4 linked regions of the Oreochromis niloticus genome follow. The protein of the gene in region 4 interacts with the protein of the main gene of each other region in a pairwise test. Links are inferred from orthologs where the notes say so. Each region holds a gene or a part of one and is shown on either strand. Other genes may lie near its edges. The genes, in order: ankrd40, dab1b, cnksr1 and pin1.

What was found.
Region 1: the proteins of pin1 (region 4) and ankrd40 interact in binary tests that used the Homo sapiens proteins (3 or more experiments, as listed by UniProt). The two-hybrid records come from large-scale screens. The link is inferred for Oreochromis niloticus from reciprocal best matches to the Homo sapiens genes PIN1 and ANKRD40.
Region 2: the proteins of pin1 (region 4) and dab1b interact in binary tests that used the Homo sapiens proteins (3 or more experiments, as listed by UniProt). The two-hybrid records come from large-scale screens. The link is inferred for Oreochromis niloticus from reciprocal best matches to the Homo sapiens genes PIN1 and DAB1.
Region 3: the proteins of pin1 (region 4) and cnksr1 interact in binary tests that used the Homo sapiens proteins (3 or more experiments, as listed by UniProt). The two-hybrid records come from large-scale screens. The link is inferred for Oreochromis niloticus from reciprocal best matches to the Homo sapiens genes PIN1 and CNKSR1.

What each region holds. Positions count from the first base shown.
Region 1 is NC_031969.2:16,507,153-16,515,030, reverse strand, and holds the start of ankrd40 (ankyrin repeat domain-containing protein 40), read right to left. Parts: upstream 3,018-7,878; 5' UTR 2,560-3,017; coding exon 2,426-2,559; intron 1,876-2,425; coding exon 1,727-1,875; intron 1,363-1,726; coding exon 721-1,362; intron 1-720. Other genes in the region: luc7l3 (luc7-like protein 3), read left to right, coding at 4,966-5,064, 5,772-5,838, 5,933-5,972, 6,068-6,212, 6,376-6,450, 7,418-7,522, 7,818-7,878.
Region 2 is NC_031982.2:8,798,629-8,806,588, forward strand, and holds the start of dab1b (DAB adaptor protein 1b), read right to left. Parts: upstream 3,008-7,960; 5' UTR 2,556-3,007; intron 1,926-2,555; exon of another isoform or gene 1,653-1,925; intron 1-1,652. UniProt on the Homo sapiens protein: Signaling adapter of the reelin-mediated signaling pathway, which regulates the migration and differentiation of postmitotic neurons during brain development.
Region 3 is NC_031983.2:14,301,975-14,309,697, forward strand, and holds the start of cnksr1 (connector enhancer of kinase suppressor of ras 1), read right to left. Parts: upstream 3,011-7,723; 5' UTR 2,799-3,010; coding exon 2,747-2,798; intron 1,806-2,746; coding exon 1,648-1,805; intron 1-1,647. UniProt on the Homo sapiens protein: May function as an adapter protein or regulator of Ras signaling pathways.
Region 4 is NC_031971.2:12,301,456-12,308,679, reverse strand, and holds the start of pin1 (peptidyl-prolyl cis-trans isomerase NIMA-interacting 1), read right to left. Parts: upstream 3,020-7,224; 5' UTR 2,900-3,019; coding exon 2,842-2,899; intron 1-2,841. Other genes in the region: ubl5 (ubiquitin-like protein 5), read left to right, coding at 3,521-3,576, 4,534-4,617, 4,703-4,740, 5,093-5,136. UniProt on the Homo sapiens protein: Peptidyl-prolyl cis/trans isomerase (PPIase) that binds to and isomerizes specific phosphorylated Ser/Thr-Pro (pSer/Thr-Pro) motifs.

The sequences.
Region 1 (7,878 bases), on a different chromosome or scaffold from region 4:
TTTTCTGTCTGTGCTCAGACAGCAGCACCTTATGAATGCTTTGTACTACTATGAGAGACTGAATATTCTTTCTGAACAGTTCATTTACTGATCATTTAAAAAGTGAAAAGAAAGGGTCTGTTTAGTTTTTATGAAAGCACATTTATAAAGAAAGCATGCTGGTTATATTTTGTCATAAAGACCAGTTTCTGGTTTGACAGGTTGACGACATCATGCAGACAATTTAAGTTGTTATATCTGTGATATTATTAGTAACTCAGCTGCAAATATCCATATTGCCATGCCACATGAAAGTTTTACTGTCAAAACATTCACCGACAAAGTGTCAAAGAGCCTGGTTCTTTCTTACCCCTGCTACGCCTGACACCAGAAGGTGTTTAGCAGTGTGCAGTAATTTAATGGGGCTCTGCTAGCTGCCAGGAAAACTCAAGGCAAAGGAGGAAGTTACTACTCTCAGCTAAGAAATCCTTACAGCATGCAGTTTCTAGAAAATAATCCATGCTGTTGGTTTTATATTTCTATTTGCATAAACATTAATCAAACAAGATGTATAAAAAGTAAACCGCACGTCATGTTTATTAGAAAAATGTGCTGATACTTGTGGTGCTGTACCTCGAAGCTTCAGAGTAAACCAGGGGAGCTGTTTCTTCCCACTTAATGTGTTTGAAATTGAGATAAACATTTCCTGTTATTTTAATCTTTAATTCTCAGTAAACCCACCTTGTACATTGACAGGGAAGGTGCTGGTGAAAAAGAAAGGCTGGAAGGCTGGCATGGCACCACCAGCCTGGCCGTAACTCAGCTGCTGCGGGATGGACTGCTGTCTGCTCACAGTTGGGTTTGTGCTTGCCACTGGGGCTTGGACCTGGCTCCCACCGTTGCTAGCCAAGCTGGGACTGGGTGAGGCCAGTGGAGGCGAACACACGGTGCCGTTGTGCACCACTGTGTGCGGGTAATCGGCGTGGTTGACGAGGTGAGGCTCGACTGATAGGTCCATGGGCACCGTGCAGTTAACGACAGCGTGACTGTGGGAAGCAGCCGTGCTGGGTGAGACACCGTTCTGCTCGTTCACAGGGATGAACTCCCCAGTCTGGGCTTGGCTGTGGTTGATGGTGGGATTTGAGGAAGGAGCGGAGGCATCAAAGACGAGGCTCTGTGATTTCCGAGGAGGCTCGTGCGTTGGCGAAAGAGATGCCGAATCACTCTGCGTGTCTTCAGCGTGCTCTCCAGAACCGTTTTGTGTAAGGTGAATCACCTCTGACTTCTTGTCCATCTTGGAATACATAAAGGGCGGGTTAGACAGGTAGTTGGGGACGATTGGCAACTCGGGCTCCTTCACTTCAGGCACTTCCTCCACCTCAACTGTTGCAATAATGATCACAAAAGAGGGGGCATTATTTCCTGGAAACAGACTCGAAAAAATAGCAAAGATTGCCGCAGATGTGTCAACACAAATGCCCAGTGTTATAACTGATTATAGATACACACTTCACTCACTCAATCGCACTTACACATTCATGCAGTACTTTTATCTATGCCTAAGCACTTCCTAACATTCATACACTGATGGATGCCCAAGGAAGCTTCAGCATGCAGATCAGAGGAGCCGGTATCGATCCACTGATGCTACAACTGGTGGACAACCCGCTCTACGGCCTGAGCCGTAACCAGCCCAGTTACACCGATGTGACACAGGGAGCAGCAGAGTGAGAAATGCTGACTTTACCTCCTAACAGTCTTTTGATCTCCGGCTTGGATGTCAGTTGTGACGCTAACTCATCCTTTGCTGTGAGGATGTCTTTGTCTGCTCCGCAACTGAGTAAGTAGGACACTATGTGCTTGTGATTCCTCTTGCATGCCCAGTGTAAGCACGTCCTGCAGGGATTATTGGAGAAACAAGACAATTTAGTGTTGTACAAAAAGAAAAGGAAAAATAATAACAGAAATATACTGTATCACTCAAGTGGTACCACCTCTCATTAAGCTGACTATAGTGTGTGGCACTGGCATACAAAATGGAAACATATAAATAATGTATATATTACTTTAAAACTTAACCAAAATCTCGATATGACTCTATTTGGTTCTTTATGGGTGCAAAGTAACTGATGATGGGCGCATGCGTGAAAATGTAATAATCAAAGGTGGGTTTGTGTTTCCGAACTCAATAACCAGGCTACAGCAAAGAGAAAAAGCTTGTGGTTGAAGCAGCCACTTTACTCAATACTTTGCTTGTTTGCTGGTTTTAAAGTAAAGCTAAAAGTGGCAGCGCTGGCTGATTAACAAGCCCTGCTTGGCGTAATAGGATAACGCTGAGCAGTGTTTTTAATCCCTGTAGCTCTGCTCTACAATGACTGCACTCAACTCCTGGCCGGCTGCAGTCGCGACCGAACAAATACTACTATAAATCGGTGAAAACACTTACCATCCGTTGATTTCGTTTTGTGAGTTGACATTAACCCCACTCTCCACTAACGCCCGCACTTCATCGATATCCCCGATGGCAGACGCCTCTCTCAGCTGCTCCTGTAGCTCTTTATCCAGCGAATTTGTGGACATTTTTGGTTCACACGGCTAGCGACGTGCGCTCATAGGACACGCAAAGGCCACGCGAATTATGTTGCCAATACTAATTAGCTAAATATACTGGTAACCGCTAGCATTAGCTACCAGGCTAACCTTACCTACTGGCTAGCTCGACGAGGTGCTAGCTTATGGCAGCAAATCGCTTTGGTTATTTCAACTACGTGTTGACCGTCTCTGGCGTTCACACGTCAAGTCGTGTCCCCGCCGCGTGTTTCTGCTGTTAGTTCGCGTTACAGTGGCACCACATGCACTCGCTATAAACTCATTCAATCAAGCAGTAGTGTCAGAGCTCCGTCAATGCACTGCCAAAAACACCGCCGCCTCGTCGGGGGGGCATCTTTAGATGTGACAACAGTGAGCACAAATGTTAGTTCCCCTCCGAGGAATCGCGTAGCCCGTGCGATTCCCCACGTAAATTGTGTGATACTGCCGTTGGCTGTCATGAATAAGGAAATAACTGGGAGATAAAAGTTCAAAGTACTTCAACTGTTTTTTACTCACACGTGTTGCAGGCAAGCTGGAATAAACCTCCCTACACTTATAATCGCTACTCCAGAAAAACCTAAACAGCTGTTGATTATTTGTCCCAAGCACACCTGTTACTTTTGTTTTTATATCCATTTTAATAAAGTTATAAATACTGGTTTTAAACTTGAAGTACATTTTTAAGCTGAATTTCCTCAGTATGCCACTAGAGGGGAGCAAACACCCACGATACTACACTAACTTGAACTTTGGTGTAAGATACACCAGGGATACTACAGCTGCAAGGCAGCAATTTTAAAGAATCACAGTTTCAGACTTTATGAGTGGCGAGGGGAATTGCAAGAAGACGAGAGGAACGAAGATAAGGAGTCTTAGTGGTAAAGTGAGGGAGTACAACTAAGTATTCAAAGGAAGAGGTTAACAAAGAAAAAGTAGACAAGAGTACTGGGAGGCTGGGTGTACAGCAAAGAGAAGTGGCAAAGGCTAATAGTGGATTGTATGTAAGGCTCTGGACACTAAGAACAGAGAACAGGAGTTGTATAAACTGGTTATGGTAAGAGATCAATGTGGAAAAGATGCATAGCAGTTTAGGGTGATTAAGGTTAGAGGTGGAAATGCACAAATGAGTGAAAAAAGTACGTTGAGAAGAGCGGAGGGCCGATCAAGAGGATTTCAGAATATTATTTAGTTTTCAGTGATATTAACTTTCTTAGCAGAAAACTAATATATGATATTTGAAATTATATTTGACAACAGCATAATAAAACTGTGAATTCTGTTTTGGCTCTGCCAGCCCAATAGTTTTAGTGGCCCCCATATGACTACCGTATAAAACATTTTTGGGAGGCACCACTGGATGTAAGAAGATGCAATGCTTGCTCTGAGTGTTGCTGTAAAGGTGCATAGAAACTCAGAGGGAGTTGAAATGAGTTACTAGATGGTAGTAAAACCTGTTATGATGTATGGCTAAATGAAAGGAGAGGAGACAAAGTTACAGTTCATAGATGGTGGACTGAAAGAGGACATGCAGAGGGTTGGTGTGACAGAGGAAAACTAAAACACATTGGGGACAATAACAGGAAATCTATGTGGACTTGCTTTAATAAATATTTGGTCAGCACTGAAGTCACAAAAGTATACATTTATTAATCATTTCTGGCAGTAATCGGATCTGGCAAAATCTGCATCACTGAGATAGATTTTGATGATGCCATAGCACTGCATCTGTGAAATATGCAGTCAGAAAGCTTCACGTGTGTTTGTTGTTATCAACATTCACTGAGTTTGAAGTTTTTAGTGTGACCGATGGGAACTGAGTAAAAGCAACAAGTAAACATTATATATTACAGTATCAAATAAAGAGCCAATGCCAGTGGAAAATAACATTAGTTCATCTCTGAATGTCCTTGTGTGATATCCTCTGATGAGCCTTTTCATACACCACCACAATCTGGCTATTCAATGCAGCATTTGTCTTCAAGAACCTTAAAGAAGTCCAAACGCTTTTCTTTCCAAGCTCATCAGACTAATCTGAACTTGCTTCCGTTGTAAACTTTCAAAATAAAACAAAGCACAAACATACGCAGTGCCGCAACATCTATTTCTGATCAAAATACAAATAGAAATTGCATATTTTGTCCGTTTTTGATCAATGGTAAAAGTTTGCAGCACTATACGGAGAACTGAATCCTGGACACGATGGTCAGACTAGTACTTCCGGTTCAGAGGCCGCGGGAGCAGCTCCTGGGCTGGTTGTACTCGGACTGCGAGCGGGCGTTGTTGTTACAAGGTCTGCCATTTTGATTAGAAGCACTTCGCGCAGCAGATGGTGTGAGTTAGGCCTTCTGGATATTATTGTAGTACTTTAAATTAAGGCTACATTCCCGCAGAAAAATGCTTTCTGCCGCCCAGTTACTCGACGAGTTGATGGGTCGAGATAGAAACTTGGCCCCTGACGAGAAGCGATCCAACGTACGGTGGGACGACGAGAGCGTAAGTTAGCATTCTAGCTACCATTAGCTTAGCTAGTTTTAAAACCTATTAACCGTGAGGTGTCCAAAATACGCGTGCATGGCGTGCGCGGTGAGTATCGGCTAGTTTAAGCAGTATGGCCTCCAAATTAAAATTTCTCGATTCACGCACAGAATCGATGGCGAAAAGCGGGCGGTTTGAGTCAGTGGTGCTTGAACACGCGTGTTAGCGAGATTAGCATCACGATTTGGTCATTCTTAAAAGGTTTCATAGGGCTCACTTCAGTTTTAGCAACTTGTTTTCTGGGTATAGTTGGGCTAATAGTTTAACTGTGTTAATACAAATGATTTCGATGTGCTAATGTGTGAAAGGACCTGCACATTACGTTCTCTAAAGGTTATGCTCTGCTTTATTGCATAAACTGGCATTGCGATGTCTGAAGACTTAATACGGTTACATACATGCTGCTTTGTATGTAATTCGGCATTAATATTTAATATTAATAATAAATACTGTTTTCCATGCTGTTGTGTTTTTGTTTCACTTGCAGTGTTGTGGGTATTTTTTGTGTTCTTAGTTCAAGCAGAAATTGATTAGGTAAATTTGTACGACTACCACATTCATTTGCTTATAGTTGGTCTAACTAACATGCTGTCACTTAATCCAATGTGATCTACTATGGAGGCACAATTTACATAAAACTGTTTGATATGTTTTCTTTTATTCAGGTCTGTCGGTACTATTTGTGTGGCTTCTGCCCTGCTGAGTTATTCACAAACACTCGCTCTGACTTGGGTAAGTTGGGAACTTTGTATTCCCAAAATGTATTATAAACTGGACAAAGCCCTTGAGATTTGACAATAATATGTTTATTGTTTTGGGTTCCCAGGTCCATGTGAGAAAATCCATGATGAAAATCTTCGAAAAATGTAAGTTCTTATTGTGGCTTTTTTTCTTTTTCTTTCCTTTTTTTTTGGCTTGATATTTTACACATAATTAACCAATTCTGTGTCGTTATATCCAGGTATGAGAAAAGCTCTCGCTTCATGAAGGAGGGTTATGAGCGAGATTTCTTGCGCTATCTGCAGTCACTACTGGCGGAAGTGGAGCGGCGGATCCGCAGAGGGCATGCCCGGCTTGCACTTTCCCAGGCTCAGCAGAATGCAGGGGTTCGTGCTTTTATTTGAGAACATCATTCTCAAACTCCTCTGTGCATCTTCATGTTTTCTCGGACCACAGTGCAAGATATGAATCTAAAAGAAAATAACATTACCTGTATGTTTCTGCTTAGGATGTATTGAACTTAGTTGTACTCATGTATTCATTCTGCAGGGCCCTGGTCCATCAGGAAAGAATGAGGAGAAAGTCCAGGTTCTAACAGAGAAGATCGAAGACCTGGTTGTGCAGGTTTGCCCGAAATCTTTAAATTAGTAGTGTTTGAGGAAAAACTGAAAGATTTGAACGCGGGTTCTTGCATCAGGATATCTGATGGTCTCCTACAAGTTCTTCTTCTAATGCCTTGCCACAGTGGAACACCTGCCTTCCTCTGACCTTATTACTAGCATCCTCCCCTGTCACGCTAACTCTCTGCATGTCCTCCTCCTTTACATCCATAAGTCTTCCTTCCTGGTTTCTCCCAATGAATATTTCAATATCTTTAACTCTGCCTCCTTGAGCTCTAAACTGAGTTTAACTCATACATCATAGCAGGTGCGACTACCATCTGATAATCCTACCCCTTCACTGTAGCTGCTATCATTCTGTTACAAATCACCCCTGACACTCATTCCTACCCACACCTCTCTGTCCACACTCATGTCTTCACCTCTCTTGTGCGGTCTGCATTACTTCGGCTGGTTGATCACATATATTTAAACTCCTCTACTTTAACTACCTCTGCTACTCTGCAGCTTCACTGTTCCACCAAAATTTGTGAATTTAGAAGGTATGTGGACTGCATGGCTAACTGTACATGCATTTGAAAAGACTACATTGGAGTCTGATAAAGGCTGTCCTGTCAAGAGGTTCACTGCAACCCACACTTGTGCAGTTTCTCCTTAAAATAATTGAATAACAAACAAATGTAATTTGTGAAAGGAGATTTTGAACCCTTTGGGAAAATAAGGAAAGGTGTTGCTCTTCACACTGATCTAAGTGTAAGCTGACTTCAGACTTGAAATCATTCAAATAGGATCAGCTACCTGTTGTGACCACAGCTGTTTTTGTGCATGTACTCTAGACTGTATGACACTTCAGATGCTTTTTCCTGACTGTATTACAGATCACACTATTTAAAATAAAACCACCTAAATTCTTATATGCACTCCATAAATCAAGTCGTGACATTGTAACATGGCTTTTTTCTTTTTGTCAGATTGAGGAACTGGGCTCTGAGGGCCGAGTGGAGGAGGCCCAGGGAATGATGAAACTGGTGGAGCAGCTGAAGGAGGAGAGGGAACTACTCAGCTCCACCCCCTCGGTGAGTCAGTTTACCCTGGGCTAATCAGCCTACAAACACAGCTTAAGATAGCATAACATGCACATCACCTACTATTAGACAGGAAACATAAGTTTAATTCCATTTCAAATACAAAAAATGAGTTTAAACTTAGCTGGTGAGCTAAAAGTTATTTTTTACTGTAGCTGTATTTCTTATTAATACTCTCAAAGTAAAATCTGTGCGAGCTGGGCAGGCAGCTATGATGGAAATCAGAAATGTGTTCCTTATTCTTTGACTTGATGTCTAATCACAAATTTATGCCCTTTCAATCCAGACCATCGAGAGCTTTGCCGCCCAGGAGAAACAGATGGAAGTGTGTGAGGTGTGTGGGGCCT
Region 2 (7,960 bases), on a different chromosome or scaffold from region 4:
TGCCCCAACCTTCCCTGCACCTGTCATGGTGATTACACTCCCAGGAGGGTGGCGGGTGGTGGTGGGGGGCGAACGTGTGCATCATTCAGCTTTCTACAATACACCGCTATCGGAGCAATCTCCCCCTTTTTGTTCAACTCCGGCAAGCGAGGTCACCCCTGACCTGCCTCTGCCAGGGGCCACATCTTTATTAATGAACAGACTAAATGTGATAAGGCCGCCAGCAAAAATCAGAACTCAGGCACAATCTTGCTCATTAAAGCTACTTTTTTATAAAAGATTCAGGCCACTCCAGGAGTCGTGTGTCTGAGTCTGAAACTTTGCATTAGTGTCAATGCGAGGCCCTGTTCGTTAGACGCATTACCTCAGAACACTTGGTAGTTCACGTTGAGGTAATGCCGCTGCGAGATGAAGAGAAACTACAAATGCGATAATCCACCAGGCTTTCAGCAGAAACAAAAGAAGAGAAGCAGAGTGTGGCACGGTACAGCAAAGGGGTGAAAAAGCCCAAAGATTTAAGAAGTGCAAAAAAACAACAAGCTGAAATTGCTCCAACACTGCTGCAATGCAATCGTGAAGAGTTAATACAGAGAAGAAATACCCAAACCACCTTTCCTCCAAATGCAAAAGGGGAAAATTCATTATGGTCTTAATTGGATAAGCTATATCCACCATATGCACCGGCTGCTTTCGCTTTCAGGAGCTAAATGAAGCGCCTTGATTCCACTGGGAGACCCAACAAAGAAGGCCTTACTGGAGAAGTTAATGCTCTCTAGTGTTTTGTTGAGCTCTATCTTAAGCCTCACAATTCACACTGGGCTGCAAAGAAATGTCTGGGGGTGACAACTGGAAATTGTAGCATGTGTGTGTGTGAGTGGTAACACATCCATCCCACGATCGAGCTACTGAGCACAGCTTAGGCTCTGTTGCAGAGCATCCTCACTAAGGAGATTACGAAGGATAGTTTGGGCGACTTGCAGAAATCGCCAGTGAACTTTGGCACCAGCGTGAGAATCCTAGCCCCAGACCTTCACTTTTATCCCACCAAACCACGACATAAACAAGATGCAGGTGAGCCACAGTGTTTCAGCAGCACCCTGGTCTGTAGCTGATGGCTGCTGTGTTACTACATTTCCACTACAATGCTCATTTCCCATCATTTACGATTGCTCTCACACAAGCACCCATGTAGAAAACACAGAGCATCATGACTGACATATGGTCCAGTAATGAACTTTGCATTTGAACTGGTAACATTGGCTCCAATTCAATTTTACCCAAAGGGGGAGGGGGTTTGGGTTTGAGAGGTTATGATTATGAAAAACAAAATAATAAACAGCCAGGACAGCAGCCTGTTCTATTGAATGATTTAACACAAAAAACTATATTTTGTCTATATGTGGTTCTTTTTAATTAATAAAGACATGCCTGTGGACCAGGGATGCACCTTGTTGTCTAGGGTTATCTTTAAATATAGAACCAAGATTGATAGCAGACTTTACAAAAATAAAATAACCAAAGTTTAGCCATGCTTATACAACACAAGTAAGTCCTACAAATCCAGACATATATTAAAAATCAACATAAAAAATAAAATAAAAAATTTTAAATGACGCAAATGGAAGTCGTGTCTCACGCTACCCCCCACCCACCTCATCCACGTCTTCCAAGACTAACTGGAATGCTTCCACCTCCACACTGACCCACGAACGTCGCTGCTGACCGGAGGACTCACACTGAAGGCCCACGCACTGGTTTTTCTGGCACATTTTGGCTCACCGCTGCCGGACAGACCGGCGCCGTTGTGCGCTGTGCGCTCCCATCCAACCGTTCATCCACAGGTACTCAGCCCCTACTACTGCAGCCCACCGAGCATTCCCTGACCGCTTCCGCACTGAAATCAATACATTTATCAACATATGCGTCATCATTCATCCATTCGCTCAGCATCGGAGCGGGCTAACACGCACTCGTTTGAGAATGACTTACTGCTGTTGCAGCAGAACATCTCTTCATTTGAATATTTGTGGAGGGAGGGAGAGCAACAGACGTGGTGGGGAGAAGAAAAAAAAGATTTCGCCTGTTCTCACACTTGTTCCTTTACACGAAATCCCACAGCCAAAAGCCCCCGTGAGCAGCTAACGCGCTGAAATCGTTTAAAAACAATCAAAACCCAAACGTCACTTTGTAATTTATGCGCAATTCGACGTGGGACAGCGGGTTATTTGACAGGCAACCGGCGTTTGCGCTTCAGCGGACTCCACATTCAAATCCATCAAAGCAGCACCGACGATCAGGTTCACAGCTTCATGATCACATTTATTTCTCTTTCCCTTTTTCTTTCTTTCTTTTTCACTCTGTATGTGTTTGTATCCCGGTCATCCACAGCGGACTGGTTCCCATTTTCATTCAACGCATCCTATCCATAAATCTTGACATGTCGCTGAGCTGCCTTGCATCCTTAAACAGCTCTGTAGTTTCACAGTTTAATGCTGAAGCACCTCTTCACCGCACACCCCTCCCAAAAAAGAAAGAAAAGCTGAGATGTTACTCACCTTTTCTCAGTGGATGCTTTTCTGAAGTGTCCCATTTGTGCGTTTTAATCCACATCTGTGTCTCCTTCATTTGAGCGCTCTATTTCCCCCCCTCAATGAGCGAGAGAGGGAGAGAGAGGGAGGAAGCGCGTTTAAGAAAATCCATTTGTTAATTCCATTTGCCGGACACTCAAGGTGAAATCACATTGCCTCTGCCTCTTTTTTTCTTTCTTCTGTTAACAGCTTCAAAATTCTTCCATCATTGTGAAAATCCCGTAAAGCCCTATCATCTTTTTGCTTTTTTTATCTTCTTCTCTCCAGCACTGAAGTTGCTTGGTTACCCCTATTTCTCATTCAAGGAGGCTGAAGCGCTGCATACAGCGGCCAATCATAGCAGCAGCCGGAGAGATTAACTATTTCTTGGCTCGAGTATTCTAGTTTCAAGCTTAAATGAGGAGAGTAGGCGGGGAAAAACTGGGCCCCCGGTGACAGAAGAAGGGAAAAAAAATTAAAATGCACAGAGAATAATGTAGAGAGGGGATCCGTTGGAGGGAGAATGTGTGGAGGGGGGAGGGGACGAAGGGGATTAAACATTTTCGAAAAATAAAGGATTCTGGAGAGGAGGAGGGACCAGTTGCCACTTCTCACAACAACAAAGATGTAAGTGAATAATATTCCTGCCTTGCAGGGCTCTCATGCAAACTGGAGTGGAGCCTCCATTCCTTCTGAATTTGCCTTTAAAGAGCAGAGATCCGTCTCATTTCAGAGATCCCCAAAAAGCAATCCATCAGGGTAATTGATCATCCCCCTTTAACCAGCCATCCATCAAGTCCAAGCTCTCTCTCTCTCTCTGTCCCCCACCTCCTACCTTCCCTCACCCCTGTCTCACTGCAGTCGCCTCATCATAGGCTGTATTGATTTTAATTTACCCCTTCAGATTGTCAAGGGGAGAAAGCCAGGTTCGCTCACCGGCTCATGCAGGCGTAATGACCCCCTGCCTTCAAGGTCCTTTATTGAGGAACATCCAGGTCAAGCCCCCCACCTCTCCAAGCACACGCCTACCTTTGGTCTTTGTGGCCTGCGCATTGAAGGCTTCAGACTTGCCCTCCACCACCACCCCTCACAGGGTGCCATGCAGGAGTGGTGGTGCATTATGGGCAAACAGTCGGGGGTCCTGACAGGGAGACAACAAGCTTCTCAAAGACAGACAGAGCACCAGCAACCATTGAGAGGGGGTGACCTGTGTTGGGGGGACTGACTGCACGCTCATGATGTAGAACATTCCTGCAGAATGAATTTATGTTATTTTATTATTATTGTTTAGTTACTTTGTCAGCCGTCTTGTTGTCAAAGTTGTTTTTGAAGCACTTTGAAGCATCTTCTTCATCCCACATTACAGTTTGAGGGAGATGTCAGCCACATACGATTCATGCTCGGGTGCCAACTGAGTTCACACATTTCACAAAAAATAAAGTTTGTCTCTTTTTTTTTGTTGGGTGACTGACGTATCGCTGGCTTCGCTCCATCCCACAGATTCCGAACGAATTCAGCAAAGTTGGGGTCCTCGCTGTGGGATCAGAAGAGCACATGTATGTGGATGTACAGTTGTGCATGTGACACACACACACACACACACACACACACACACACATATGCACATGCACATTGGCACAAGAACACGCACAAACACTTAGTGGTTGATTGACGTGTAGCTCCTGGCTTGAGCACAGCTTAATCCTGCTGCTTTCACAGATGGACTCAGTCTTCCTCTTTTTGTCTGGTGTCACGAGCAGTGGCACACACACACACACACACACACACACACACACACACTGCACATCCCCATGTACTTTTGTTTACCAGGGAGGGAAGCTGCTGTTTGGGTTTTAATCCCCTCTGTAAACCTCCCTCTCTTTATCGGACACCCCTGCTACTGGACACACACACACAAACAAGCACACAAACACACACACAGTCATCTACTCTTTGGTCATTAAAAAGAAACAAAGGAGGTCAGTGTCAGGAGTGGAATCAGGCAGCTGTGTCCTGTGAGGCGAGAGTTAATCCTCATTTCCAAGGCCCAGAGACAAAAAGGAGCCTCGCAGATGAAATGCTTCGCAGTTACGCAGGAACTCGTCACTTTTGTGCCACCTTGTTCACCCATCCATCCACCTCCACTGTAAAGGGGAAATTATGGTTCAGCGGTGGTAACGCATTGGCAGCTGTGGGTTGAATGTCCACCTGCAGCAAGCACATGTTATCAGATGGGGGCAATGTCAAAAATATGTGGTACAACTGGTCTGTGGGCAACTATTGTTTGTGTTACTGATGGCCAGTCAGTCATCCACAGAGAAGAGTGAAGTTATATAAAGAGCTGAAGTGAAACTGAGAGTTACAAATGATTAAAGGGTCCACTGCAGCCATTGTCAATTCCCCAATTCCCTGTTCCCAACCATTGTCAACCAGTCAGCATTAACAAACCCCTCTCCACAGGCTCTCTTTAGGCAAATACACACGCAGTCCCTAAATTAAGAATAACAGGGAGTGTTTGTTGTTCATTTGCTCGGCTCATCATAGGTTTTTTGGTGGCATGAACCAAAAGGGGAAAGATTAGACTTTTCTCCCCCTCCCTAATCGTATTCCACTTCTGGAAAGGCTTTGATTTCCATGTAGATGGAGCCACGTTGATAACGGCAGGGAACTGCCCTGGAGAAATGAGGCAGGGTGATAAGATAAGGAGAACAGATCCCCGTCCAGACAAAAAAGACAAAGAGGAGAGCCGTCAGCCCACGTGGCGTTTAATCTCCATTCAATCCAGAGATTAGTTAAGTCAAAATTCTCATCGCCGCACCCTGATTAGTCAGCTCCCTAAGGGGAGATGGGTAACTGGTGGCTACCTTGCAAAACCTCAGCATGAAAGCTGATCAATAATTAGTTCCCGGTTTTAGTCAGAGCGGCAGCTTTGGGGTCACGATATGTATTTCAAGGACAAAGAAAAAGGTTATTGTACAGACAGAGTGCTGATTTGCCTCTGATTCTGGGCATGAAGGTTGCCAAAAACACGAACAGTAAGTGCACGTCCAGTCAGTTGCAGTTTTGACACTCAGAGTGAGCATGTTTTCCAGGAAAGAAGGATGTTTGCCCAGCCTGTGGGTTCTATGCTAATAGACTGTTTTAATCAAGTCTAATCGTATTGTCACAGCAGAGCGTGAGCGATTAGCATTCAGAGAGGCACGGCGGGGCAAAGCCTGACATCGATAAATGACATGTGACCCCTGACTCTGACTACTCCGGCTGCTGAGAAGTTCCACTCCTTTTATCGCTCTCACCCCGGGCCACTTCATTTCCGGTACCACGGGTAATCATGATGTACTCCATCGGCTGTGGGTCTAGAGGGCACACTTCTCAGGGGACTGAGACAGAACACCTGTGGTAGTGCTCATATTTATTATTGAAGGAAATGAGCAAGTTGTTCAATGTGACTATCAATTATTGTGTAGATGAGCTGGGACTGCACTGCTACTGTAGTTAGGTCAATAGTTTTTTGCTCAAAGGCACATTTTTTCTAGTTTTGCCTCTGCACGCTTTCACGGTGGATTTTGAATCAAAAAACCATGGTGTGATTGAAGGCGAGACTTTGAAGTTTAATTGAAGTGGGTTTATAAAAATAGTGAATTAACTGTTTAGGAATTACAGCCATTTTTATACAAATATATCAAGAATTTGGTACATTTTTGAAATGAAAAGCAAAATCTAAAAGAAACATCTGAAGAGCTGACACAGTTCTGGAAAGATGAAACCATACTTTTATTTATGCATAACCAAAATGACAGGAAGACAACAGCATGGAGACGGTGAGAAACAACTCATGATTTTAAGTATAGCGCATCATCTGTCAAACACGGTGGAGGCAGTAATATGGCATGGGAAGATATGGCTGCTAATGATGTGATTGCTGATAGAAGTAGCAGGATGAATTGTGAAGTGTACAGTGCTGCACTCTCTGCTCAGATTCAAAAGTGATCAGACAGCATGTCACAAAAGTGGATCATGAGCCAAAGCATATGGAAAAAAGCAACCCAGGAGTTTCTCAAAGGAAGGACATGGGATATTCTTCAATGGCCAAGTCAGTCACTGGATCTCAACCCGATAGAGTTATTAAATACAAGACTGAACGCATAAAGACATGAGAAAGTGTGCATAAAAATGGCTGTATTTCCTAAACAGTTAATGGACTCATCCATCCTCTAATCTAATATCATTTTATAGTAGTATTTTTGGGTTTTTTGTTCTGTTTTGTGGTAGTTAGCATGTCTTTGGAAGTAGTGCAATGTGTTTCTGTTGGGAAGTATGGTATGGAAATGCATGCAAGTCGACTATTTGTTCAAGTCCACAACTGTCCATCAATGTAGACCCAGAAACTTTTAAAAATCATAACTTATTGACTGAGATCATACCGAGTCAGTGTGGTCTGAGTATGGTCCTATTCAACACGATCATGCTGAGACCACATGGGGAAATGGGAGGCATGAAATGCTCTTCAAGCACTTCTTCTTTGGCTTGAGCGGAAACATTTGCATGCCAGCATGTCTCCAAATTAAATTTTGTGTGCTTTCAAAAGGCAGCTGTTTGCTAACATCTGTGACATATCCACGTTTTATGTCATTGCTGAAAACAGCTTGCTCCACTGCCCTATATTGCTCAAAACAAACAGGAAAAAAAAAATCAGTTAATACTGCTTTAATATTAACTGATCCTTCAGTCTCAAAGGATTAAGTGTTGTGACCTTGAAGCAGCAGTCAAGAAATGAAAAGCTACAAAAAGGTAGTGAATCAGCATTAGGATTCATGCAACTGAACAGATGCAGTGCCGATGCTCAGGGGGGCTTTAACTTTGTTTCAGTATCGTGCCACACCTTTACCCTTGTTGTCTTGCTCTAAGCCATTTTTGTTTCTCAACCAAGAACACCACAACACCGGCTTGTTAATCTCATGCAGCCGGAGCAGCTGTCTTTTCAAGGTCAAAGAGGTCTGGAGAAAATCTTGCTGATAAATCTTGAAATAATCAGACCATGCAAATCCAGATGCACGCACTAATTTGTGAAGATGAAACCCCATCTTCGATTTCTATCTAGGTCGAAAGAAGATCTACATACCGTAGCTTTATATTAGTGTCAGTGTAACAAGGCGTCTGTGTTTTCTAACTAACCTTGGATTTTTTATTTTTTTCCCACCGTGCGTGAATATTGAATTTTAAACTATCAGCAGTGAAGTGAATGGGTGGGGTGGTAGCGGGGATTTGAGGATTTTTGTGATGCTGCTGGAATTTATATCCAGCCATCACTTGAACCACACTGGAGCATACTGTATGCAGAATAACAAGTGGCAGCATGGAAGCAGTTAGTCTAGCTTCAGCGTGGAGGATAC
Region 3 (7,723 bases), on a different chromosome or scaffold from region 4:
CTTTTATTCTTACAGGGTTACACTTTATGACTCTGTGTGTGTATATTTTATATGTAATCTTTTGTCATGGTATTGATATTGTGTTATAGCAGTTATGAAAAAATGCATAATGCAATGTCTGTTTTAGCTATTTTAGCAATTGTCTGAGCGATTATAAAGAACCATAATGAGTAATAAAAAAAAATTCCATTAAACACCTGTTTTTCATAAACTGCCCATATGGATCTAATCCACCCAGAGCAATTAAAAAGAAGCACATTATTTTATAAACAGTCTATCCTGAACCCTTAACTGCATAAATGATAAATCCTCACAGTACAATGCAATACAAGTGAAAGGGGGAAAAAACCAAATAGATTCAACTGTAACTAAGAGTAAAATCAATACATACTAACACAATCTCTTTCATATGCTTGTCATCACAGTTTGCTGGCCAGCAGCATGAGACGTGACTCTTTAAAATCACTGAAGGAGGAGCATGCGATTGTCGTGACCCACTCATCGGTGGTCAAGAGGTTTGTACCGGTCAGGCTTTGTTGGTACACAACCAGCCGGAACACCGGGCCTGTCAACAAGTGGCCATGAATTTTTCATGGCCTTTTCAACACTGTAGCTGGTAATTATCTAACCGTGCGCGTGAATCTGTTTGGTCTACTCCATGTGAGTATCTGATGGGTGTTTTTATGAATGAGCGCAGTGTTAGCGCTTCACGGAGCATTAAGTCATGGAGGGAGGAGAGGAAGTGAGCACATGAAGTCACATGCACACTATAATGGAAGCTTGAAAAGTAAAGCTTTTACTAAACTGTTGCACCCTCATTCGCGCAGACTTTGGGTTTGAACTGTTCATGCTGTAATGACTAATCAGTATTAGTTATTTCAGCAGTTTAAGCAGCCTGAGTCTTAGGCTGATGTTTACAGGCTGTTACGCCACAAGAGCTGGAACCCGGCCTGGTACTGTCCTCCTCAATTAGTCCTAAGGCCATTCTGGAGTCCCCTCCACACACACACACACACACACACACACATACACACACACACACACACACACACACACACACACACACACACACACACACACACAATTTAAGTCTCCTAAAACTTGCTCTTAAAATTGGACAAGCAGGGAAAATAATTATGCAGCAGAAAAAATGGGACAGAGAATCAAAGGGAATGCATAAGTGTTTTTTTTTTTAGTTGACTGCACGATTTCCCTAAAATTTGCATGCAAACTATTAGGGCCAAGCTTTTGTATTCTAAATCTGCTTTGCTTACAGCTGATGCATGACTAGTCCTTTGATCTTAGCTAGAAAACCAAAGTAAGTATTTTACTGTGATATGTTGGATTGTTGTAAAAGTGACAGAAAAGTCAAGTACTGGCTGTATGTTCTGGCTAGATTTGCAACTGATTGACCGACAGCTGCTCATTCCACTGTGCAAACAAAAATAAGGTGTAAAAAACACAGCAGTGAGGCAAAATTATATCTCTGTGCTGCTGTATCAGAACATACGCACCAGAACATGATAGCATGATTACTGCACCGTTACAATCCATAGCACAGCAAAAACATGACAAAAGATACTCTGAGACACACTCAGCATCACTGTCTACATGTATTATAATATGTAATTCTCATTGCTCGCTCACCAGAGAGCACAGTTTCTCCACAGCCTCCAGTATAAGCTCCTGGTGTCCAATCTTATGGACTCCCAACTCCTCCAGGTCCTGAGAAGTCAACTGGAGCAGGTCCACACCTGATAGATGCCACTGTGCAACTGGATACTGATGCAGGGGAGCATCCAAACCTTGCCGAAGGGCACAAAAAACAACAGGCTTTAGCTGCACACATGGCAAAAGTATAAGTGGAAAAGTCCACATACTCATAAAGTCCTGTGCATGTGCAGGCTTGAAAATGGTCTTCTCCTTCTTCTCTACCACATGTTGAGTAATTAAGTGTGAAAAAGTAAAGACATGACTGTGAAACACGAGTAGTTTACTGATATCTGAACGATACACTGGCACCAAAGTAATACCAGTATTATGTGTATTAACTGTGCTATTAACTGTGTATTAAATTAAGCTATGATTTATGATCAAAACCACATCAGTAAAAAGCACAAGTCAAAAACATGACATTTAGAATTATCTCTAAAGCATGGAAATCATTGACACTTCTGTATATATATCACTATAATATATCAGTAATATGTAAGAATACTTTAATCTGCTTTTAAATACTCAAATACTGCTTTTAAATTAACACTAAAATGAAAGTATTTACAGCAAAATGTACTTTTGCTGTTAAAGCTGTATAATATATAGAGTGACTCCTTGTCAACTGTAATCCATTAAAAAAGTAATGTTTATAATGACAAAAAAAGGAGCCTACCATAAAATCAAAATATTAAAGTTAATCAATGACCTTAAAGCTGTGCTCAGTTACTTTCCACCACTACTTTAACACATTTTAACATACCAAATGGGTAAGCCTGTTTATATGACGAGATCTAAATAATATAAGTAGATGACAGGCATTCATGTAAACTATTGTTTCTACTTTAGTTGTTGACACTGATCAGAGCTACACTGTTTTGGCTTCTCCCTCTGCACGGGCCACTTCCTCATTCCACCTCCACCTTCCACTTCCAAGAGGATTTGTGTGGCGATTCTATTTCTAACATTACCGTGCGAGCCAAAGTACCTGTGATCAAGGCGTTAGACAAGGAAAAAGCAATATGTGTCTCACCTTGGAGCCACTTGCTCACTCTCTCCTCGCTCCACGACGGTATAGGCTCCATGCTCGGAGTCCTGTTGCAGTCGCTCGTTCAGTTCCCAGCGGTCCTGGCCGATTTCTACCTCTCAGGGTGGCTGGAAGAAGAAAAAGTAGATCCTGATTCGGAATCAGACGACGACGACGACTGGCACTCCTTCTCTCAGGTACAGGTAAGAGTCTCCCACCTGCTGTCAGCCAATAACACGGAACTGTCAGCCTCCACCAGGAGCAAGACCCCTCCCACCTATCCCCCACCCCTTCCTTACCTGAAGGAATAGTGTGTTTACTGCGGCTTTAAGATTTCAGAACTTCCCTCATACTTTACTTTCATGCGCAGCTCACGTCGTCGCTCAAAAAAAAAGGCGCACGACTCATGCAGCAATGTGGAAGTATGTATTGCACACAACACCTCAACAAAGGTACAATGCAATATAATAACAATGCGATAATCCTGTAATAGCCCTGCGCTACTTTTGGCTGGACCTGATTCAACCTTTTGATTTTCCACAGAAAAAAACAGCAGTTGCTGTGTAGAAAATTAGGTTTATAGAAATATTATGACACACCATTGCTGATTTCCTTTTTCTTAAAGCTCCTAAATTGCTGAAATACACAGAAACTGTAACTTGTTCACTGAGCAGCAGACTTAATCCTCTCTTCCAAGAATAACTGTTAGCCGGTTCTCCCGGGAATTTTCCGGAAATGTTTCCTTTTTTTATCATTTGAACTCAGCTGACTAGTTATTTTTAGCTATGGATAGGTTTACGTGACATTGCTATAACTTTATAAATATTGTAATAATGTCCAGTAGTTTTACAGTGTCAGACATTTTCCGCTTGCTCATTTATTTATGGTATAAATAAATCATCCTCCTGGAGGAAGAAATATCTTAGCTTATTTGTAAACACATTTTTGACCCACATGAAACCGCACAGATTATTATAATGCATCAAGCTGAATATATGATGCAGTTATCTATTTTAATATGGCCCCTTTGGCTTCTTATTTCTTCACCATAGGCTTCAATTCTACAGTAAATAATCTCTTAAAGAAAACCGTGAGGACAAAACAGCACTGTGAGAATGTGTGCTCTAGATCAAAATGTACTTTGATCAAGTGTGCTAAAGGGCAACACCTGATGGAAAGGCTACTGGCATCAAAGAGCTGCCCTCTGATATCTGGCACCCCCTGCTGTTATCCTCTTTGAACCAAGAGAAAGAGGCAGAGGGAAAACTGACCTCATATGTCAGTAGGCAAAATGGCATTGTGCCCATATCCATGTGGCATATATGATCAGTGGCCACTCAGTTAGGTACACATGTTCATCTGCTTGTTAATGCAAATGTCTAATCAGCCAAAGACGTGGCAACAACTAAGTGCATTTAGGTATGCAGACGTGGTCAAGAAGACCTGCTGATGTTCAAAAGCATCTAAGGATGACGAAGAAAAGTCACTGAAGTGACTTTAAAAATGACAAGTTTGTTGGTGCCGGACAGGCGGGTGTGAGTATTTCAGAAACTGCTGATTGACTGGGATGTTCCCCACATGACCATGTCTACAGTTAACAGACAATGATTTGAAGAAGAGAAAATATCCAGTGAGCATCTTGATGGATTCTCAATCATCCAGGAAAGTAAATCTCCAAAAGTTGATTCTGTTCATCTGGACGTTGCTTTTTCAGTGGGAGAAATGTTTCGTCACTCATCCAAGTGACTTCTTCAGTCTCAGCTGCCTGCAGGTTTCCCCAGTCTTTCCCCAGTCATTATGCAAATGTACTGTTTATAAGATTGGGGAAACCTGCATTCAGCTGAGACTGAAGAAGTCACTTGGATGAGTGACGAAACATTTCTCCCACTGAAAAAGCAACGTCCAGATGAACAGAATCAACTTTTGGAGATATCCAGTGAGCAACAAATCTCTGGCTGAAAATGTCTTGCTGGAGAATGGCCACATCGTTTTGAAATTATAGAACAGTAATAGTAACTTAAATACCCAGTGGTTACAGCCACAGTATACCAAAGAGCATTTCCGAATGCACCAAAGTCTTGACTTTGGTAAATTTGGTTGAATTTGGCACAAATAAAAGCAAAGCAAAATGCACCCATCCTGCCTTTTATCAGCACTTCTGGCTGCTGGTGCAGCACATTTATGACCACAGTAAACCCATATTCTAATGACTGCTTCCAGGAGGATTGTCATAAAGCTCAAACCTATTGGATTAAGATCTTAAACTGGATTCTTGAACATGACGGTAAGTTCGCTGTACTCAAATGGCCAGATAGTCACCAAATCTAATCCAATAGAGCACCTTTGGGATGGGGTAGTTTCAATCTGCAGCAACTGTGTGATCCTATCATGTCAATATGGATCAGAATTTCTTTCCTGCACCTTTCTATACCATGAATAATTAAAAGCAATTCTAAAGACAGTAGGGAATCAAATAGCAGGGTGTACCTAATAAAGTGGCCTACGGGTGTATGTTTTGTCAGTTTTTCTGGTTTTTGTATGTTTGGGGGGGGGGGGGGGGTAAATAAATACTTCTTAAATATGGACTCCTTATTTTAAACTGTAACTTATTACAACACCTGAAATAAATAGTTTTAAAGTAAAGGGGGGAAAAAAAGAAAACTGCAGCCTCCCAGTGCAGTAGAGATGTCGTCATTATTGCTGACTGAACCGCTGTTGTTACTGTCAGAACTGTCTGTTGTATATTCTATTACGTGCACTGATAGCAAAGAAATAACCAGAGCCAAACTACTTGTATGTGTAGACACACTTGGTCAGTACAGCTGATACAACTCTTGCTGGGTTAAGATGTTCTCAGCTGAAAATGTGAGAGGAAGAAGAAACAAACTTGTGTGTAACACATGACTCTACTAGCCTAACAAATCAAGTCTGAACTTGTCCCCAGTACTGCTCTGAGATCAAGTCCTGTAAAGGCTATCCTGTAGTGTTTTGGGGCTTTTTTATTATTATTTAGAAAGAGCACTTTTATTGGACATGGATCACTTAAGCTGTTCTTTGGCTTTCCTGTTTTCCAGTCTACAAAAACCTAATAATAGCCTTTAGCATTGTGACTTTTGACTTTAAGTGGGTTACTTGTCTCACTGAAACTGACTGACATCACAATCTTTGATAGTTGTTTGTTCGTGCTGACTTTGGTCTCTGGGATTGTTTTTGTTTATATATATATTTTTGTGAAGGCATGTCCTTGGCCCACCTACTGGCCCAGCCCAAATACCTGGGCTACAACTTCAAGCCTCAACATGCTGTTTTTTTACTCGACAGTGAAGATTTGCTGTTTGTAGACCGGAGAGGTATACAAGCTGTTAGTGTAAAACAAAGTGTCTGTGTCATATAACCTCTATAACCTGTCTTCTCTTCTTTACTCCTCACTCTTTTCTTGGAGTAACTATAACCCACATTATTTAGTTAGGGATTATTAAAGTATTTTGACTCTGCTTGATTCTCTTTTATACATTTCTATGTCCAATCAGTATTGCCAGTGGGCTTTATCCTTAGTCATTCTGTCCTTTTAGCTATTTCTTAATGGAAATTCCACAGATGTTTGAAATATAATAACTCTTTCTTCTCTTTGTTCATGAGTTATGTACGGCACAAAGGCAGGATGTATTTTCAGTCATTACAACTGCATCTTGTCCTTCTATAGTCATTCTGCAGAGATTGGATAATTACCCTTGCTTCACTATTGAGCAGCTAATTAATTTGTTCAGTGGCAGCTTGGTTAAAAGAAAGGAATTATTATCTCAGATTTCATGAGTACCTCGACTGAAATCTGACACACCCGGAGTGTTACATTTAGACCTGTATATAGTGGATGCTGTTAGCAGGAATAGCAGTGTCGTTTATCGCTGCTGTGTTGTGCACTGCTGTAACACTACACTGAAAAAAAGGCCATGTTGGATTTACTTGATTCAATAGTGGACATTGGTTGCACACAAACGTTTTGCTTTGGCAGAAACTTAAACAATTGAGTTCAATCAACACAACTTTTTCATATTCAATAAACGTGCATTTTGAGTTCATAAAACGCGATTGAAACATGTTTAGATGAAGTAAGTTGAGCTCTTGGAATATTTTAATCCTTCACAATTTTGTCATTTTATTTCAACACTATTCAATAACTTATACCCCAATACTACTTGGTCACTTAAATACTACATGTTCTCTTCATATTATATAATGTTCAACAAAGTCTAGATCCTGGTTACCATAAAAATTGAATGGATCTAAACAACTACCATCCTCCTTTCTTTATCCTGGTTGCAGGGGGGCTGGGAAATAACTCTGAAGTGATAGGTTGTGAAGCAGGGTACACCCTGGACAACTCACAAGTCTATCACAAACAACCATTTGCACTTACATTGACAGGTAATTTAGAATCACCAATTAACCTAACAACTGCATGACTTTTAACTGTGGGAAGAAACCAGAATACCCAGAGAGAAACCAGTCCAAACTAGCCAGATTGTGGATTTGAACCCAGGATCGTCTTACTGTGAAGCAACAGCACTAACCACCATGCCAACAATCCGGACTTAACAAAAGTAGGAAAGCTATGATTTCAAGGCTTGATGCAGAATTTTGTTGTACGTTTTTGTCCTTGACAGGTTAATCCACAATAAATAGCGACAGCATACACGTGGTGTGTGTGTAGTTGTCTGCCTCTTATAACTCCAGTGATTTCCCTGCAGTTTGACATCTCGTGCGATCTTGTGAATTTCATGAGATCAGCAACTAACCACTCTTACTAGATTGTATCATGTCATCTCAACAAGAACAAATTAAGTTGTTGAATTTCATACAGATCCTTCATGATTTAATTACGTTTATAGAAACATGATATTATTGTGTTCAAATTACAAGTCAGACTTTTTTAATGTAACAACCACCCAATTTGCTTGATTTGACTGAGACGGATGCCTTCCT
Region 4 (7,224 bases):
AAAAAAGAAAAAACAAAAAAACCAACCAAACTGCTTCCTGCCAAGACTGTAAATAAAGGTAATGAGAGAAGAGCATCAGAGATGCTATCAAAAAGCCACAATGACCAAAACTGACTAAAAAAAGCTTATTGTGTGAGTTTACAACTATGATCGAAGCCTTTTATGTTAGACATTACAGGCCATCTGCACAGGAGAAAATAAATATCACAGGCTGACTTCATAGAAGAATCACCTTTGAATCCTTCTCGGCCTTTCAGCAAAAAAGTGTAAAAGAAAAAAAAATGCTGCTGAGGCCATACACTTTTAAAAGAAGCACCTTTCTCTAGTTTAGCATTCGATCGTACTTAAACACTGAGTCAACTGTTTGGTTTCTTCTGTTTTAAAAGTAATTCTTATTTTAAGACTGTTTTCATGGACCACTGATTCATTTATTAGGCCAATCCCCTTCTAACCAGCCCTGGACCTTCACACCTCATATTTATATAGCAGCAGTTTTGCTTGACATTGTGTCAGCCTGCTTCTCAACAGAAACATATCCACCATACTGGAGTGGACATGGAAAGGATCACTGTAACATGACCTGCGACCTTAAACAGCAAGAACAACAGGTACTGTTGCCAGCTGCAGTCCAACATCATGAAATTCGAGTTTATCCTCAGGATTAGAGACTCATTGAGCAAAAGGCTGACTGCGCTGCTCGACTGTTTTTATCTTTGCAAATAATCCATGTAAACTGTTAAATGGTATACGCTCTGACATGCAAGCTTGCTACCGCTAATGTTCACTGATCACCTCTTTTGCAGTGCTAACATTTTCATGTGTGGTTTCATAAGACCAAGATGGTGAAAGCCCAACTGCCACACTGCAAGTTTCAAAGCTGGTGCCCACAAACCACGGGGTGACATTAAAGTGGCTCTGCCCAGCTTTTATATGCTTTGGGTGCTTTCCATGACTCAAGCACGCCTCCTTTCTTCCTTTGGTCAGGCTCCATCTTCATATAAAGCAATTAACTTGTTGTCCAGTACTAGCTGGCAACTAGTTGCTAGCACTAGGAGACGGCTCTTCCTAGCCATCTCAGAGAGATGTGAAGGAGGTACGTGTCGATGGAGGAGCTGCTGTTGCTAAATGAGAACTTTGTGGTTTCATCGTCAGTGTAGAGTGAGTCACGGTGCACAGCTGGGCCACCTGTCCAACTCACAGACTCCCACACGAGCCCTCATTTAAGAACGATTTCAAAGCTTAGAGCAGCTTCTCCTTCAAAGTCTGAAAGTCATTCAAATCTCTAATAGGCCAATTTAAATAAAAATAATCTCTCATGTGCCATCTTTAGATATGCTACAAAAAATAAATAACCAATTATTAGTATTTTTTATTTTATATCTTCCAAATATTTACCTTTTATAAATAAAATTTACTTGCGTTATTGTTACTTCCTTACTTATCGTTATTAGTCGTTGATATAACAGGCTAGAAGGTAACAAGGTACTGTAATCACATTACTCTTTGAGACAGGCAGTACTGTAACATATCACTGTACTAATTTCAGCAACTGCATCACTATTTGCTTTGCAAAGGTTATTCAATTATCTCAGCAATGGGCAGATTGAAAGAGGGGGAAAAAAAAATCAAACCAGCAGTTTTCTTCCTGTGCTGCTGTCAGGTGAGTTCAGATTTTTGCAGGGAGGAGGAAAATGGTGGAGCAGTTTACAACATTTGAGAAGTGGCGATGTGGCCATTTCACTGCATGAAAGGATGAGATCACGAATCGCAAACTGCATCCAGAGCAGAAACTGCTGCATTATACTGTTAACGCAACATCTCTTTACAAACATCTTCACGGTGAAGAACCTAGAGTCAGTGTATCCTGACCCTTAGTCAGCAGCCAGAGTGATGAGCCATCAGGCCCAGCCTCCATTTCTACCTGTACATGTTTCTACAGTAGAATCGGTGTGGTGGTTGTTCTGAAGGCTCCTTGAGTTGGTTTTCAACTTTGCCACGTGTTATCACTACAAAAATTAAATTAAATTAAATAAAATCTTACGGCCTCTGTTATGATAGGGGTTTGAGTCACTGTGTGGGGCTGTAGCCTAAGGCTTATAATGCATCACAACATGCTGTCAGTCATGTTGCGGTGGAGTAACGCAAAGTATAACGAGTAGTTTAACAAATTACTTTCTCCAGGGAGTAATTAGGTAATGCAAAATGAAACAAAAACAAATAAATAAAAGTGACAAGTAATGTTTAAGACTTTGAGCAACGACCCCAGCAATGTTCACCTCACAGTAACTGCTTTCTTTTTTTGAAGCAATTTGCTTCTTTGAGGGATACTAAAACATTTAAGTTAATTGTATATTAAATATTAGTGTTTCTCCGTGTAACTGTGTGTATTAGAATTGACTGGTCCTTACAAAACACCACAGCACGAGAGCTATGACGATAACCTGTGTCACGTGAGGAGGGAGGAGAGAGGACGCATAAGTTTAGCATTCTGAAAAGCGTCCTACTGCTGGGACTCGTTCAATCTGCAGGTGAGGCGCTGGGGCGGGCTGACGTCATGCAGGGCCCTGCCGCAGCCAGGTTGAATGAATCAGCTTTGGCGCGATAATGAAGCTAAGGTGCCTAAAACAAGCTGAGAAAACGCCACCATTAAATAAAGACATTGACAGCAGCGACTAACCCCTCGCTGCTTTTAGACTGCAGTGATTAAACACGTCAGTCCAACCTCGTTTCAGCACTAATGCACGATGCTGAGGTTGCTAGCTACTGAGCTAAGTTCACTATACACTCCACTTTAGCTCACTATTTAGGACACTTAGCTTCTTGTGGCTCGTGTTTTATCACCTGAATTGCGGCTCATTCTTTTCTCCCATCCGGACGGTAGGTTCTCCTCGTCTGCCATGTTGCTTTCTGCAGCAGCGTTTTCAAATTTGATTTCAATCTAGAAGCCGTGTGACGAACCAAGCTGCAGCTAGGCAGATTACGACAGTTGGCCTGATGTTTATGGTACAAGTTGTTTTCAGTATTAGGTCCGCCTTTGGTGGGGTTTTTGTTCTGTGATAGGTCTAGCGAGATCGCCAATCATCGTAGTCCTCATTTGATTGGTAGGAAGGCGAATTCGCAACTAAACCAGCTTTACGGTAAGCAGGACCGAGAGGTTTCCAGAAAATATCAGCGAAGGAAATAATTGTTTTTTTCTGCTGTACAGTTCAAGGTAAGGATGACAGCTTCAACGTGTGGTTTTTATACGGTATCATAATGTTTCGGATTTTGACCTCATAAAGCTGCCCATGAGTGTATTTAAATATAAGTCCCGTTTGTTTTACATTAACGTGGTGTTGTGAGCTACAGCTAACGTTAGCTAAACAAAACAACCTGGCTGATTTCACTAGATTTCTGTGGCTGTGATTTCCAGCCAATCTTGTATAAAATAAACTCACTAGGGTTATCATCTACTTTATAATCTAATACCTTCATTTGTCTAACGTTGTCTCATCTCTTCCTCTTTTCTGCAGACATAAAGATGATTGAAGTGGTTTGCAACGACCGTCTAGGCAAGAAAGTCCGGGTCAAGTGCAAGTATCCTTTGCTGAAACTCTGAAAATAATGCTGAATATTGTCTCTCAGCACACATGTCAAAATCATGTTTTAGGTGCGGACATCTGGGATGTCTTGAGATGAGTTAACATAAGTCGGGATGTTTAACAGTACAGCATTCATCAGCATCTGCTTTCACAGCACCCCTGCTCTGAAATTATGGACTTAATTTTAAGGTGCAAGTAAGGCCCATTTATATTATAGAATGGTGTGGGGAATAGTTTTACAATGAATCTATTAACATGTGAGTTTCTGGAGTATGTTAGAAGACTAAAATTCAGTGTCACTGTTTGTCTTGGCACCCATGCTGATTACTTCTTATGACTTATTTCATTCCGTTAATACAGAAACCCACAATTGAAAGTCTGTGGGTTATTATAATAGTCATATTTGAGGTTTCAGCTTGTAAGTGAACTTTATTAAAAACAAAAAGTCAGTATCTTACATTTTGGTCTTTCAGGTTCTTTTACCTTTTAATATGTGACGCTATTTATGTTTATTATCATCAAATGATGTTTAAAAATGGTGCTTGCCACTATTTGCCATCACTTGACAGCAGATATAATACCACTTGAATGAACGCCACTTGACAATCAACTAAAAGTCTGATGATTTTCAGTAACTTCTGGGTGTCGCAGCTTGAAGGGATCTTGTTTGGTCAAGTGTTAGACGTTTTTGGCCTATAATGGGTTCGGAGGCAGTCTGTCATGGGGCTACAGAGAGAGTTGGACCAGTTTAGATAGAATACTTTAGCCATCCTGTGTGTTTTGACTGAGGAAAGCAGAGCATCCAAAGCTGCTGCGCCGTCCATCTGCAGATCAAAAGAAACAAAATGATACTAGCAGACAACACTCAGATTTTTTTTAACCACGCATTTGTTAAAGCTCTGGATGTTTTCCAAGCTGTTACACTGCTCCTTCCTTAACTTCGGTGTTTCAGCTCTGAGGATACCATCGGAGATCTGAAGAAGCTCATAGCTGCCCAGACAGGAACACGGCATGATAAGATCGTGCTAAAGAAATGGTGAGCTGCTCAAATGGGATTTGATGTGCTTGATGACAAATAACTCATCTATTTGGACCTAAATGTTGTCCTTTGTTTTCCACAGGTACACCATATTCAAGGACCACGTGTCTCTGGGTGACTGTATCCTTTAAAGGGTTTTTCCTGTAGTTGTACTTATGTGGTTTTAGTTACATTACCTTTAATTTAATAATGATCATGACCGTGACGTTATTACACCCTCACAGAACAACTGCAGTTCCTTTTATTGCACTCACAATGATCCATAACATGAATGTATCCATAAATTGTTTAAATTGGTAAAAAAATGTTTTTTATTGATTTAGAGATCAAGATAACTGCAGCACTTATTTTTCTCTAATTAAAACAGCTGAAGCATTTTTGTAATGCGTGTAAATTTGTACCTCTCAGAATCAGCAGAACCGATAGCTGCTGTATCCAGATCACTTGTTGCACTTAACCAAAAACTCTCCAGATGAAATCCATGATGGGATGAACCTTGAGCTGTACTACCAGTAAGCAAGAGGAGAACTACAAGTCAGATGTACAGATGTAAAGATGTTTCTTGCTACAAACACACACACACAATTGAAGGTCTCACACAACAAGATGGAGCGAGAGCGACAGTCACACAGCAACAATGGAGTTTTAATTTTTCCTCTCAAATCACTTTGTGAAAGAGATGTTGTTGTTGTTTTTTTTTATATTTTGGAAATAAAACTGATATTTACCTGACTGTGAGAGTGAGTGCTGGTCTTTTTTGTCCATTAATTATTTTCTCATACTGGGTGAGACTGGGAAACCTTATGCATCGCTAACACTTTTCCAAATTACTCTTTGCTTTCCAGCTTACTGGATGAAGGTAAAGTGTTGGGCAAAAGCATGCAAAAAAACATGGAGTTAGTTGCTTTTGATGTTGGTGGTAGTAAGTAGAAGGGTTTAATTGGTGCCAATGGGACCTACAAACTTATCAGTGGAACTTGGCAATGATATTTGCCTATGGCTGTGCATCCAACATCATTCACGTGGGGATGTATATGAATAATTTCAGTGGAGGCAAATGGACACCATCAGGTTTTCTAGGGGCCTTCTGCTCCAACTCCTCCACAAACTTTTAATTAGACGTAGCTTTACCTCTGTACATAAGACCAGTATGGCTAATGAGTTTATCGCATATACGCATTGCAGAAGCTAGATTTACACGCATGCTGTTTTCAACAACAAAAAAAAGTGCTTGGACTAAAAAAAATGATACTGGCTGATTAATCAGCTTTGGCAGCAGTTCTCAGACTGAGAGCTGGGGTTAGCAACCAGGGGGAATTTGTATGAAACAAAGTTTAATGATTTAGTTTTAAAAAAGGTGGTTTCTAAAGCTATTGCGCTGACTCTGAAGTATCTTTTATTGTTTAATGATGGGGGGGAAAAGCCAGCGCTAAACCTCCCTGTACACTATATGTTTAACCTCGATATTTTAAACCATTCTTTACCACATTACACTCGTACTGGACCACATTTCAGAGGAAATTATAAGACCTTTGTGCATCTAACATGTACTTTTATTTTAGAAACCTTTCTGTAGTGTACTGATCAGATAAGACAGCTATAGCACAAAAAACACCTGCTTGTTCACTGCATCAGTGTGAATACATATAAGGTGTATTGTGTAAACTATTTTTGCAGAAGTTCTACATGTCAGGAAGCCTGTGGCATTGATACTTTGACCTTTGTTGCAGCTAAATAAATGCTGCTACTACAGAGAAGTGCCATGGCCCGCAACTCTGTTTTAGATTTCAGATTTAGCATTACAATACAGATGTGGGCACAAAACCAGCCCCATAATCAAACATTTTCCTTTGGTGTGTAAGAACATGTCTGCACTGAACAAAGCCGTCCAACGTGTTTGAAGTGGAAGCGGCACTTTTGGCAGAGTGAGAGCGAAATCCTGCTGCCATGGAGACCTTACTTATAGACTCAGTCTTCTTGGACATGGATACTATTGTGTCTCTCAACACTTCAGAGCTTTAGCCATTGACAGCTGACATTGATGTAAACCTTTTACTAAAACTGCATCAAAGAAAGAAAAGAATGAGGGGACAGTCGTGGCACAGCTGTGGAAAGACAACAACTGCCGAATGAGGGAAGAGGTCAAATGTGAAGATATTTAGAATCCCCATATACTAGTATCATTTCCAAACTGTAGCCAATATAAGAATTTGAATCATTTTTAAAAATAAAAGGCAAGTTTTACCTTATTTGACCTTGAAAAAGAGATCAAAGGTCCAAAGTAATGTGATAATTACAATCCCCAGTTATCATTCTCTATATGCTGTCAATACAAACAATAGCAGTAAGAAAGTTTGCAATAGCTCTGCATTGTATTATTATCACTTTGACCTTGAGGGAGAGGTCAGAGGTCAAAAGTGACATAATATTCTAAATCTTTATACAGTACTTTCTAACAAAACACACCACACTATATACAGCAAACCAAGCCTAAAACTCTGTTGTAATACCATTACTACTAATACTACTAAATAATAATTAATAATAACACAGCAGTTAGTCACATGCATGCACTGTAAAGAAGCAGTTCTTCACACACACTGC